Ovis aries: one gene and its partners. The protein of the gene in region 1 binds, or shares a complex with, the protein of each later gene. Links are inferred from orthologs where the notes say so. Each region holds a gene or a part of one and is shown on either strand. Other genes may lie near its edges.

Region 1 (3,970 bases):
GGGAGCCCCAAGACTTAGCTACTGAGTCACCAGGGTAGTCCCTCTGCACTATTGCATACAACTACTCATGTATCTACTATTACTTCAGAGCAAAACAAACAAAAAATTAAAGTACATCTTCTTTTGACCACTTATCGCCAAGTCTAGAAATTTGTCCTAGGAATAGAACCCGAAAGACTAAAGTACTTTAAAGGCACCAGATGTTCAAAACAGTGGTATTTACAACAGGAAAAAAGAACCATTTTGTGTCCAAACAGCGACACAGGCAAATCATGACACAGCCACCCAAGAATTATGCAGTTGTTTGATACAGCCACAAAGAAATGTTATTTGAAAAGGGAGGATTCAAAACTGTGGTACAATATGAAATCTCTGTGATGGGGCTGGAATATATTGCAAAAGTTTTAATAGTTACTCTGTGTGAAATTCTAACTAATGTTTCCCTTCCCTCAAGCTATCTCTAAAGTTACAGGTTTGGGAGGGGAGGGAACGATAGTAAAGGACATTTTTTATGTTTAATTACAAACGTCAGAGTCACGATGAAAGTTCTTTAAATCTATCCCTCCCAGTAGAACGAACTTCGTTTTTCAGGTTCCAGGATTGGAACAAGCGTGTATACAAGGACCCAGAGTCATGAGCCTAGGGCAGGTGCGATTGAGGCACCCCCCTCAACCGCTGCAGCTGCTCCAGCACTGTGCTCACGGCCCCATGTCCACAGCCCCACCCCAGGACCCCACCAGGAGTCCGACGAGGAGATCCCCCAAAGAGAATGAGGACGCAGCCCGGAGGTGCAGTGACCACTCCAAGGTCATCATCAAGCCGGCAATCGAGGCTCGGCCGGGCGCAGCCTAGAGCTCCAGGACTCTGAGTCGGGGTCTCGCAATCTGCCTCGCATCCCCACCCCATCCCGAGTCTCGACCCGGAGGCTCCCCAGCGACGAACTCCCACGTTGCGTCCAGATTGCCTCTCGGCCCCCAGATCTGAGCTGTGCGCCCCCACCTTATGCCCGGGGCCAAGACCTCGCGAACGTACCCTTCCCCTAGACCCTTCCCCTCTTCCTTTTTCGCCCTCTCAACCCAGCTTTTCCCGACTCCGGGAAGAACCGGGAAGAGAAGGCGGAGGCGAGCGAGACGCCGCGGGATAAATACTGTGGCCCGGCCCCGCCCACCGACATCACTTCCGCCCCGCGACAAGATGGCGGCGCCCCGGCCCTGCCACGCAGACTTCCGCCTGGCGCCGAGACTGGGAACCCGCTGCGCGTCGCGTCGGAGGTGAAATCGGGACACGCGTGGTGTGGAACTACATCCTAGGTGCGGAGGGGTGCGTCTTTGCCTCGTGCCTGGCCGGGGGCCTGGAGAGAAGGCGAGCCAAGGGCCCTAGCCGGGGTGTTCGGGGGAGTCCCGCCACGTGGGAGGGGGAGGAGCTGAGTCTCTGCCGGAGGGACGCGCCGACTCGGGGGGCGGGAGGCCACGTGGGTGGGGTTCCGCTCAGGGTCCGCGAGTCCTTCTCCCTCGAGTGACTTCGTTACCCCTTTTCGCCTTCTTTCTCAGGCATCATGTCGGAAGGAAACGCCGCGGGCGAGCCCAGCGCTCCGGGAGGGCCCCGACCCCTCCTTTCTGGGGCGCGGGGGCTTATTGGGCGAAGGCCGGCACCTCCCCTCACCCCGGGCCGCCTTCCCTCCATCCGCTCCAGGGATCTTACCCTCGGGGGAGTCAAGAAGGTACCCGACGGCACCTTTCTAAAGAAATCCAGCTACGCTGAATTCCAGGCACTTGGGGGTTTGACTGTAGGGCCTACTGTGTGCCAGGCGTGGTGCTGGGCCTTGCGAATCTTGTCTTCAGACTTCCGCCTGCAATTTTTGGGGAGCCTGCCCTACCTTCAAGTCAAGATACTGGGTCCAAGATGTTGACATGGCTCTCAGAGATGGCTGAATAGCAGAGAATCCTAATTAGCTCAGAAGCAACTTGAGCAGGGTTTATTTCCTTTTGGTGTGTCTTGGATACCTTTCAGAAACCCATGAAAGCCACGCAGACATAAAGTTTGCCTGCAATTTAAGAGAGTTCTGAATTTGCCCTGGATCCCAGTGTGCAGACTTCTGGTCCAAAGTATTGAGTCTTAGGTGTGATAGTAGAGCCTCTGTGTCTTATATTATGTTTGTGACTGTAGATGTGACGGGTAGACTGTAAAGAGAATGGGGAGGATGATAGAGCATAAAGCAGCCAGTTTTTGAAGGCCTCAGTTTCCCTTTGTAAATTCTGGTGGCAGTCTAACCCAATCATCAGTTTGTGAGTGCTGGCAGAACTGTCTTTCCCATTTGAACCTTGCTGGTAGAGCTCATCCTCTATAATACTGTCTGGTCTTAGCAATTTGAAGATGAAGTGTGAGAGTAGGTAAATTCCTCTGCTGTTAGAGTCCTGAGGGTTGTCCTTTCAGGAGGCAGAAACTGAGGCTGCCATTTAAATGTTTTTTGATGCCCCCTTCTATATATAGCTTCACCGTTGCCTTGGCATGACATTCCTCCTTTTCAAGCACCTGTCCATTTCAGTAAATCTTTGACAACAGTATGGAATGTGCCAAAGAGAGCCATATTGGTCTTCATCCATGGAAGATGCCCTTTGGAAGTTTTTCCTTTCCTCTGTACTTTGGGACCAGAATTTACCAAATCAGTGACTCCTGTATTTTACTTTCAGAAAACCTTCACCCCAAATATCATCAGTCGGAAGATCAAGGAAGAGTAAGTAGCTAGGCCTCCTGAATCCTCGCGCCTTGTTTGTGCGTCTGTGCTCAGTCACTTGCTTGAGTCTGACTCTTTGCCACCCCAGGGACTGTAGCCCGCCAGGCTTCTCTGTCCGTGGGATTCTCCAGGCAAGAATACTGGAGTGGGTTGCCATGCCCTTCTCCAGGGGATCTTCCCAACCCAGGGATGGAACCTGTATCTCTTGTGTCTCCTGCATTCTTTACCACTAGTGCCACCTGGGAAGCCTTGCCCCTTTGTTTACTTGCTCTGAATTTGGACTTTGGGGAAATAACTAAGTAGGTGGCTCAGAAGTTTAAATTTGTAGATTTAGTTCTTTGCAGTAGTGATTAGCGACCCTGGCTCCCAGGTGATTCTAATGTGCAAGCTTTAAAAAAATACTGATGCCTGGGAATCCATCCTTAAAATTGTTTTAACTTTTTTGCAGTGAAACAGTGATTATCTTTTTTATTTAACTTTTAATTTTTTATTGGGGTGTAGCCATTTAACAGTGTTGGGATAGTTTTAGATTAACAGTGAAGGGACTCTGCCATATATATACATGTATCCATTCTCCCCCAAACTCCCCTCCCATCCAGGCCTCCACATAACATTGAGCAGAGTTCTATGTGCTATACAGCAGATCCTTGTTGGTTATGCATTTTATTTATTTATTTTTTTGGTTATACATTTTAAATACAACAGTGTGTACAAGCAGCCACAAGTTCAATTTCTAAGTCTGTAAGTCTTTTTCTGTTTTGAAGTAAATTCATATGTATAATTTCTTTTTAGATTCCGCATATAAAGGATGTCATACAATTCTCCTTCTCTGCCTGACTTACTTCAGAGAGAGATTATGTTTTATAGCCAGAGTTGAGAGCCAATAGTTTGGGCAGAGATGGGTCAGGTTTTCCTTTTCGTTCTTTTGCATTGCAACTTTCCCACTTTCAGTCGATACCAAAAAAAAAAAAAAAAAAAATCCACATTTGGGGGCAATCTCTATAATTCACCTTTTGTGGTATAGTTCTAGTATACACTCTTCGAAAAGGTAAAGTACAGTAAACTGAAGGACTCTGCCTCATCAAGGAAGTGAAAAACGTGCTAGACCACCCACACAGGTGGGTACTGTGCTTCTCATGATATAGTTGTTGGCTCATAAACTCCCCTCCGGTGGAGCAGAGTGGTGTGGGAGAGTAAGACCAGTTCTCGGACGCAGGTGACGTCAGTAGTTTCCCT
Region 2 (4,082 bases), on another chromosome or scaffold:
TAAATACTCAGTTCAGTTCAGTTCAGTTCAGTCGCTCAGTCGTGTCCGATTCTTTGCGACCCCATGAATCGCAGCACGCCAGGCCTCCCTGTCCATCACCATCTCCCAGAGTTCACTCAGATCACGTCCATCGAGTCAGTGATGCCATCCAGCCATCTCATCCTCGTCCCCCCTTCTCCTCCTGCCCCCAATCCCTCCCAGCATCAGAGTCTTTTCCAATGAGTCAACTCTTCGCATGAGGTGGCGGAAGTACTGGAGTTTCAGCCTCAGCATCATTCCCTCCAAAGAAAGCCCAGGGCTGATCTCCTCCCGAATGGACTGGTTGGATCTCCTTGCAGTCCAAGGGACTCTCAAGAGTCTTCTCCAACACCACAGTTCAAAAGCAATAAATACTACTAGTATGATTAATATTTATATTTATGTAAAATCCATAACAATAAAAACAAACTACCTATTTCTATGGATATATCTATCCACGTGAATATATCCATATATATTCACATAAATTCACAATAGAAGGTCCAGAAGGAAACGCAGTGTACTAAGCTGTATAACGGTTACCTCTGAGGAAGGGACTTAGAGACCGAAGGTAAAAGAACATTAGTACCTTATCTACAAAGTTTTCATATTTTGCAATAATTCACATATTATCTGTGTAACTAAAAATTAAAACACATAATTTTAGAGAAAACTGCCTACACCAGTCCACGGGTTTGGCTTTCGGAAGCCCTGGTGCGGGTTACTGCCGAAATCCATCGTTTATTCCCGTGTGGGTTAACCTGCTTAACGTGTTAAACGTCCTACTCAGAAAACAGATTCTTAAACTGTTCTAAGATCTGTTCGGAAGAAGTGTGGGTCTAATTACTGGAGAAAATATTTTATTTTTAGTAGCCAATACTTTCTAAAATAGTTCTATAGGGATGAAGTAAAACATATAGCAAACAATCAGAAATTAAGTGTACTTGCATGTAAATGCATTAAATAGCTTTCTGGAAGGCCCCACTCACAACTGGGTAGCGTGGCCGAGCGGTCTAAGGCGCTGGATTAAGGCTCCAGTCTCTTCGGGGGCGTGGGTTCGAATCCCACCGCTGCCAGAGTGAGCTTTTTGCCCCTTGCTACCTCCTCACCAGCTGTTTTGCTACTGCGTCAGCGCCCCCTGCTGCCAGGCCAGGGCTGGCCGCCCGTATGAATGGAGCGGCGGAGGGGGCGGGTCCGCGCGCGCCGGGGCGGGGCATTGTGGGTAAAAGGAAGCGCTAGGGCCCGCCCCTCTCGCTCCCCCCACGTGTCCGCCCGAGTTTCTCCACCGGCAACATGGCCGCTGCCTGAGAGGAGAGTCTGGCCACTGCCGCTTCTGCAGCCCGCGGGTACCTGGGCCGTTGCTGCGCCCGCGTGCGGGCCCCGCGGAGAGGTGAGTGCCGTCTTGGCAGTACCCACCCGTGCTGGAGCCGGGCCGTACTCACGAGGTGGGCTTGGGCGGGGCTGCTGAGTAGGCCGGGAGGCCCGCGCCGCGCGGTGCCCAGGGGCCGGGGGCCTCTTAGGACTCCCGCGGGAAGGACGGGCAGCCTGCCCCAGGAGACCCGGGCCGGCCACAGGCTCCGACCTCGCCTCGCCGTGGCAGTCGGTGACGCCAAGGCCGAGGCTACCGGCGGTGACTCAGGGTCCCGCCGCTTTGCCCCACCCGGCTCAGGCCGGCCTCCTGTGGGAGCACCTGTCCGAAGGCAGCCGGTGTCCTGCCGGCGTGGCGGCTCGTGGCAGTGGCTGTGTGGTGGGCGTGAGAAGGGGGCCTGACCACCCGCGAGGGAGGCGAAACCCATTGGACAGTGTGGCGCGGGGCAGGCGGCCCGCCCCGATGGGCAGGGGGAGGGTGTCCGGGGCCCCCTCCTCGCCGCCGAACCGGATCAGCTCGAGTCCGGCTAGGCCTGGAATTCTCCATTCATTTATTCCAGCCACCCTTCAGTGCTAATTGGGAGCCAGCGACGTGCGGCCGATGGGGCCGGCCCTGAAGATTTGATCAGACGAGGTGTCAGTAAGCACGTCAAGTAAACCAGTAAATAAAAAAAGTCATTTTGTTGTGTTAGCTTTAGAATCATTGGAGGGCAGAAAAAGGAGAGCTTAAAGCAGTTGTCACGGTTTTCTTCATCTGTGAATTGGGGGTAAGAGGATTCCCCCGCCTCCTAGGGCTGTGATGAGAGCTAAATATAGGGTAAGACGGGAGAAGCGCCAGGTTGTAGTGTTTGTTTCGTGGCTCTGTCTCCTGCCCTTTTATATTGGAAGAAAACATTGTGCCGAGTAAGTAACAAACCTTCCCAGGGATTACGTTTCTACTTTACTTAATCTTCACAGTTTTCTGAGGTTGGTACTTTTGTTAATACCCATTTTTGGGGTGAAAATAGTGAAGATCAAACGATGCTAGACGGGGTAGAGGTACCAGAGGGCAGACCTGGGATTTGAACCTGTGCAGTTTCACTCTAGAGTCTAGGCTTTTACCCACTACACCATCCTGCCTTCCACTAAGGGAGCTCGCAGCATAGTCGTTAAGAATGAGAATAAGGCTATTTGACATCAGCTAGACCCAGGTTTGTGGCTTAGCTCTGCCTTTCTCTGGCACTGTGACCTTGGGTAAGTTACTCTCTGAACTTGAGTTTCCTCTTCTGTTAATTGGGGATGGTATCAATACATCCTTACTTAGAGAGCTATTGGACAGATTACATGAGGATGAATATATTAAGTCCTTAGAGAAGGGAGGGTCTTATGAGTTAAGAATTAATTCTTTTTGCCTCTAGGCCACCTCTCTCCTTGCATTGAGGTGGAAACTGAAGTGACTCAAAAAGGGGAGATGCCTTGTCGAAGGGGCACACAGCCAATAAGAATCCAGACTTTGAGACTGTTTACCCTGGGCCCCTTACCCCTTAATTCAGTTTTGTGTTGTCTCTCTCCTTCCAGTAGCTGGAGACTGTTTTTCCGTTGGCCTCTGTTTTTCTGATTGGCCTACAGGTTAGACTCCTGGGTGACCCAGCTGTGGCCTTCAGGCATCTTCTCTGCTCTGGACCCTCCCTTAGATTTACCTTGTCCCCTTTCCTTTGTTGAACAGTCCCCTGGTGGGGATGTTTTCTGTGCCCAGTGCTTGGAGCCGCTGCCATAGAGTATCTTTGTGGTCACAGGAAACCCTCTTGAGGTCAAGGTGGTCACTGCTGCCTTGAGGTGGTGGCCTGGAAGTGCAGACCACACCCCTGTCCTCAAGTGTCCAGGAGGCCCGAACTGTAAGGCCACCAGTCTCTGGATGGGGCTGAATTAGGATCACTGGGTAAAGGGTCTGTCACTGCCTGATCTCATGCACTGATTTACTCAGTCTTTGTACTATATTAAGTGTTTACTTCACTGTTCTAGATATTGGGAGAACAGCATGAATTTTTAAAAAGATAATAATGCCCGTATCAACTCCACAAAGTAAATTAAATCATCTCTGTTTTATGGTTGAAGCACAGAGGGTGCTCATGGAGCATACATTCTAGTGCAGAAGACAGACAACACATAAGCAAATAGACCAACTAGGTAATTCCAAGTTATAATAAGAACCATGAAAGAAATAAAACAGGGATTTGGTAGTGACTGGAACGGGTGAGGGGTGGGGGCCTTTAAGGTGACTGGTCAGGGAAACTTGTCTGTTCCTGGAGGAAGTGGGATGGGTGATATCTAGTGAAAAGGAGCCAGCCTTTTTTGAAAAGACCTGAGGAAAATAGATGATGTGCAAAGTTCCTGAGACTGGCTGGGGCTTAGCTTGTTGGAGGCCCAGCAAGATCATATGGGACCTTGGGGCCATGGAAAGGAATTTGGATTTTATCCTATGTGACAGTTGAAGAGTTTTGAATGGGGGAATGATAACTTTCCTTCCAAGGAGCAAGGGTCTTTGAATTTCATGGCTGCAGTCACCATTTGTGGTGATTTTGGAGCCCAAGAAAAGAAAATCTCACTGCTTCCACTTTTTCACCTTGTATTTGCCAGGAAGTGTTGGGACAAGATGCCGTGATCTGTTTTTGAATATTGAGTTTTAAGCCAACTTTTTCGCTCTTTCACCCTCATAA
Region 3 (4,155 bases), on another chromosome or scaffold:
CGTGTCCGGCACATCCTCCCCGTCTCCCAGGAAGGGCTGAGGGAGGAGCCGAGGCTCCACTCACCAGCTGATGTGCTGAATGCCTCCCTCGCGCTCCTGCCTGAGCTGCACGTATCTCTGGATGGCCTTCTTCAGGTCCAGGACCGTGGCGTTCTGGACTACAACCACAGCTGCACAAGCAGAAGATCCCCAGCGTCAGGTGGCAAGAGGAGAGCCCAGAAGCTCTGTAACTTCCCAAAGCTCAAGTCTGGGCAGGTGTGGGTGTGCCCAACAGGCCTGGGCACAGCCCGGAGTTCCCACCCACCAGCTCTGCTAACATCCTCTCCTGTGAAGGTTCAGACTGCTCTGCCAGAGCGGGAGGGCAGCACTTACGCATAACTTCTCCATCCATCTTGCACACTCGCACTGTCATTGCTTGGCCGTATTCTAATGCTATTTGGGAATTAACTTCTTCTAAAGTAACCTGGAAAAGACCAAGGATGGAGGTGGGAGCTCTCTTCACCACCCAAAACAACAAAGGCAGACAAGCTGACAGCGTTTATAAAGTTAGGCAGAACCTTCCTGAAGTCTGAGGAGAACGGAAAATGGGAAACATCGATCTTTTACTTTTTACTTGAAAATTACATTATTTCTGCTTACCCCAGGCTTCTGCACACCAATTTCTGGTTGTTTTTAAAACACTGCTGACATGTCAAATGTCCTGACCAGTCGGTTTTTCGGCGCCCCTTTAAATTTCGCACCCGAGGCCAAAGCCTCGCTCGCCTCCAGGCCCGGCAGGAGCCTTCTGCCTAGACGCTCCGCTACGCTCGGAAACGCCTTCCCCAGGCCGAGGCCGCAGCCCCCAGCGGTCCTAGGGTCCGTCCGCGCCCCGACCCCCGCCCGGGGGAACGACGCGGCCCCCGCGCACCTGGATCGGAAGGTCGCAGAGCAGCGGGTCTTGCACAACCATGGCCAGGCCCTCCTGGAACACGTCCACCGCCTCGGAGTGCGGCAGCGCCTCCTCCTCGTCCTCCTCGTCGTCCTGCGGCTCCGGCCGCGCCGCCACCCGCGGCTCCTCCAGGGCGCCGGGCTTCCCGCCGGCCCCGCCCGCACAGCTGGTCCGCGCGACAGAGGTGGTCGCGCACGCGCCGGGAAGGCTACTATATCCCCACCGTCGGGCGTCGGGGGCGGGGCCACTCGAGGACCAATGAGAGATGAGCTACTGGGAGCCGGCCCGCCACTGCTCTCCCTGGGGGCGGGGAGGCGGCGTGATTATTGGTGGGCTGGCAGGGGGCGGGGCGGGGACCACGGGGCGCTGGGAACGCCGGCGCCGTGCTGCCGCGGGCGCTGCCGGGAGCGCCGAGCCTGTGGCGGCCATGCTGCTCTTCTGCCCGGGCTGCGGGAACGGGCTGATCGTCGAGGAGGGCCCGCGCTGCCACCGCTTCGCGTGCAACACCTGCCCCTACGTGCACAACGTCACGCGCAAGGTGGGCGCGCGCGGCGCGGAGGCCGACGCTCTCGCGAGGCGCCCGCGCGACCCGGGCCTTCCCCGCCTCCTTCCCCGCCTGGACCGGCGTCCTTTGGGCCCTGCCGGCCGCCCCGTGGCGCTCCGCCCGCCGCGCGCTGCTCCGGGGGCCTGTGTAGGGCTTTTGCGCCCGGGTCGCTCTTCCCCTCTGTACCCGTGTCACTCGTCGCTCGTGCTTTTACCCGGAGGATTATTTAAAATTGCAGCCTCTTTCTCCACCTCGCCCTTCTCCTAATCTTATTTTTTTAATAGGACTCGTTTGCCTTCCATTGCGGTTTATAATTTACTTGTGCGCCTGGTTTGTTAACACTAGGGTATACATTTTTCAGTTTTCGTCCCCTCTTATGTTCTAGTCTGAACATCTGGGATATATTGGGTATTCAGTACGGAGTGATACATACTGTGTTATAACTCAGTTGTAACTCAGATGTTACTTTCCGTCGATAATGCCTCTTTCCTTTTTAGAACACCTTTAATAATTTTTAGAAGTAGAGCACGCTGGTGTTGCTGCTGCTAAGTCACTTCAGTCGTGTCCGACTCTGTGCGACCCCATAGACGGCAGCCCACCAGGCTCCCCCGTCCCTGGGGTTCTCCAGGCAAGAACACTGGAGTGGGTTGCCATTTCCTTCTCCAATGCAGGAAAGTGAAAAGTGAAAGGGAAGTCGCTCAGTCGTGTCCGACTCTTCCCGACCCCATGGGCCGCAGCCTCCCAGGCTCCTCTGTCCTTGGGATTTTCCAGGCAAGAGCACTGGAGTGGGTGCCATCGCCTTCTCCGGTGTTACCTCATTAGTTTATATGCTGCTCCACCATGTAGCAGTGCTGTGGGAGTTTAGAGTCTGAAATTATGAAGGGTGACATTTCAAGGACGGCTGGTAAAACCTGGAAAATAGTTAGAAAAAGCTCTGTCTGGGCAGAGTGGCTGGGCCACCCTGCCAAGTGCTCCACTTTGGCCTTAGTCGTCTTTGGATGTCTTATTTCAGTGACCAAGTATTGTAGAGGTGGGAGAACAAGAGGGTCACACCAGCGCCGTTTTTCCTTTCCTGCTCAGTTGCTTCATCCAGTCCTCACAGAATCTTTTTATGGGGACATCCCAATTGTGGATCCTCCTGATTCTCATGGAGATTCCTGCTCGGTGACAGCAGGAATTGTGCTTTCCTTTAGTATTCCTCCCTTCATGTTGAAGGCAGGAAGCAGAGTCTGGGCTGATACTTGAAGGCATGGTTTGGTGACCTGGCTTTGTACTGGTCGCTTCCTGGGAGAGTCTGAAGACCTGCTGTTTGTTGTTTGTTAGGTAACAAATCGGAAGTATCCAAAGCTGAAAGAAGTGGATGATGTGCTTGGTGGAGCAGCTGCCTGGGAGAATGTTGACTCTACTGCAGGTGAGAGAGAAAACCTTTCCTGTTTCAGAGCTTTGGGTAAGGGTGCAGCCAGGAGCTGTAGGTAAGGATGAGGCCGCTGGCTGTGCCACTGCAGAGCAGAGTCTGTGATGTATCAAGTGGGCTTCTGAGACTAGAAACTGTTTTCTTCTCTAATGTATTTGTTGCGCAGACAGTATTGGCACAAGCTTTGGAGTGATTCAGACCTGAGTTAGTCTCAGGGTGATCTCATATTGATGCTGATGGGATTAATTAAAAAATCAGTGTAAGGATTCTGTTCTAATATAGTTTTCTTTTAAAGTCAAAGGTAAAGAGTATTAAACTGCCCTAAATATTCTGTGAAGTAAGTATTTGAGTCTTGATTCATCTCTGATAGTGACAGATGTGACCCAGGAAGGAAAGAGAGCCCTCGACACGACCAGGCCAGAGAGGAGGAGGAGCTCAGGGCGATTAGTACTGTCTTTTTACCCCAGAGGGGGCCGTCCAGATTTGCTCTGTTAAAAATCTCTCATGGGCAGAATTTGTCACTGGGAGGTGAATTACACACCAAATAGTGTCTGAGTGTTTGAAGGAGTTTTCATCAAGAGCAAGGTTCTTGAATTGAAATCTCGGTGAAAGTAAAATTAAAAAAGAAAAAAGTACAATCAAGATCACAGGTCTCCTTCCCTCAGTTGTGAGAGCACCGTGGGAATGACACTCCTTTGCAGGAAAACCTTGCAGGGCACCTCAGGCGACGGATACTAGTTGAGCTGGGGAGTGTCTGCTGCTGTGTTTCATGAAATGTCCACTTTTAACAAGCATGTTGATCATGAGGATCGTTTGTTTTTTTTAGTAACCGTGGGTCACTGTTTGTTCTTGTTGCCAGAGCCGTGTCCCAAGTGTGAACATCCTCGAGCCTATTTCATGCAGCTGCAGACCCGCTCTGCAGATGAGCCCATGACCACCTTCTACAAGTGCTGCAGCGCGCAGTGTGGACACCGCTGGCGGGACTAAGGGCGGGGTGGCCCAGCTGCGTCAGCGTCTGCGTGCTTTACTGTCCAGGGTGCATTCCCAGCTGCGAGTGGGAACTGCGTGTCCTGAGGGTCTTGGCTGGCGTGGTGGAAAGCTGACCCTTTAAGGGTGGCTGCCCGGGGAGTCAGGAAGTCCAGCCCGCCTCCCAGTCAGCAGATTAACTCCTTGATGCTCAGAATGTCCAGATTCTGCCCATGCTGTGTGTGGACGGGAGTATCCGTCCCTGAGTGCACCCTGCTGAGGTCCTGCTCTTCCTCTTTCATG

What was found. The genes of interacting proteins can lie anywhere in the genome.
Region 2: POLR3D (region 1) and POLR3E share a complex: the UniProt entries of both Homo sapiens proteins name them as parts of the RNA polymerase III complex. The link is inferred for Ovis aries from reciprocal best matches to the Homo sapiens genes POLR3D and POLR3E.
Region 3: POLR3D (region 1) and POLR3K share a complex: the UniProt entries of both Homo sapiens proteins name them as parts of the RNA polymerase III complex. The link is inferred for Ovis aries from reciprocal best matches to the Homo sapiens genes POLR3D and POLR3K.

Annotation. Positions count from the first base shown.
Region 1 is NC_056055.1:43,365,491-43,369,460, reverse strand, and holds the start of POLR3D (DNA-directed RNA polymerase III subunit RPC4), read left to right. Parts: upstream 1-1,169; 5' UTR 1,170-1,310; exon of another isoform or gene 1,311-1,362; intron 1,363-1,550; 5' UTR 1,551-1,555; coding exon 1,556-1,720; intron 1,721-2,690; coding exon 2,691-2,734; intron 2,735-3,970. UniProt on the Homo sapiens protein: DNA-dependent RNA polymerase catalyzes the transcription of DNA into RNA using the four ribonucleoside triphosphates as substrates.
Region 2 is NC_056077.1:20,517,778-20,521,859, forward strand, and holds the start of POLR3E (DNA-directed RNA polymerase III subunit RPC5), read left to right. Parts: upstream 1-1,282; 5' UTR 1,283-1,408; intron 1,409-4,082. UniProt on the Homo sapiens protein: DNA-dependent RNA polymerase catalyzes the transcription of DNA into RNA using the four ribonucleoside triphosphates as substrates.
Region 3 is NC_056077.1:658,992-663,146, reverse strand, and holds the start of POLR3K (DNA-directed RNA polymerase III subunit RPC10), read left to right. Parts: upstream 1-1,355; coding exon 1,356-1,466; intron 1,467-2,795; coding exon 2,796-2,883; intron 2,884-3,745; coding exon 3,746-3,873; 3' UTR 3,874-4,155. Other genes in the region: SNRNP25 (U11/U12 small nuclear ribonucleoprotein 25 kDa protein), read right to left, coding at 65-170, 373-463, 908-1,198, 1,280-1,357. UniProt on the Homo sapiens protein: Core component of RNA polymerase III (Pol III) which synthesizes small non-coding RNAs using the four ribonucleoside triphosphates as substrates. Can mediate Pol I proofreading of the nascent RNA transcript.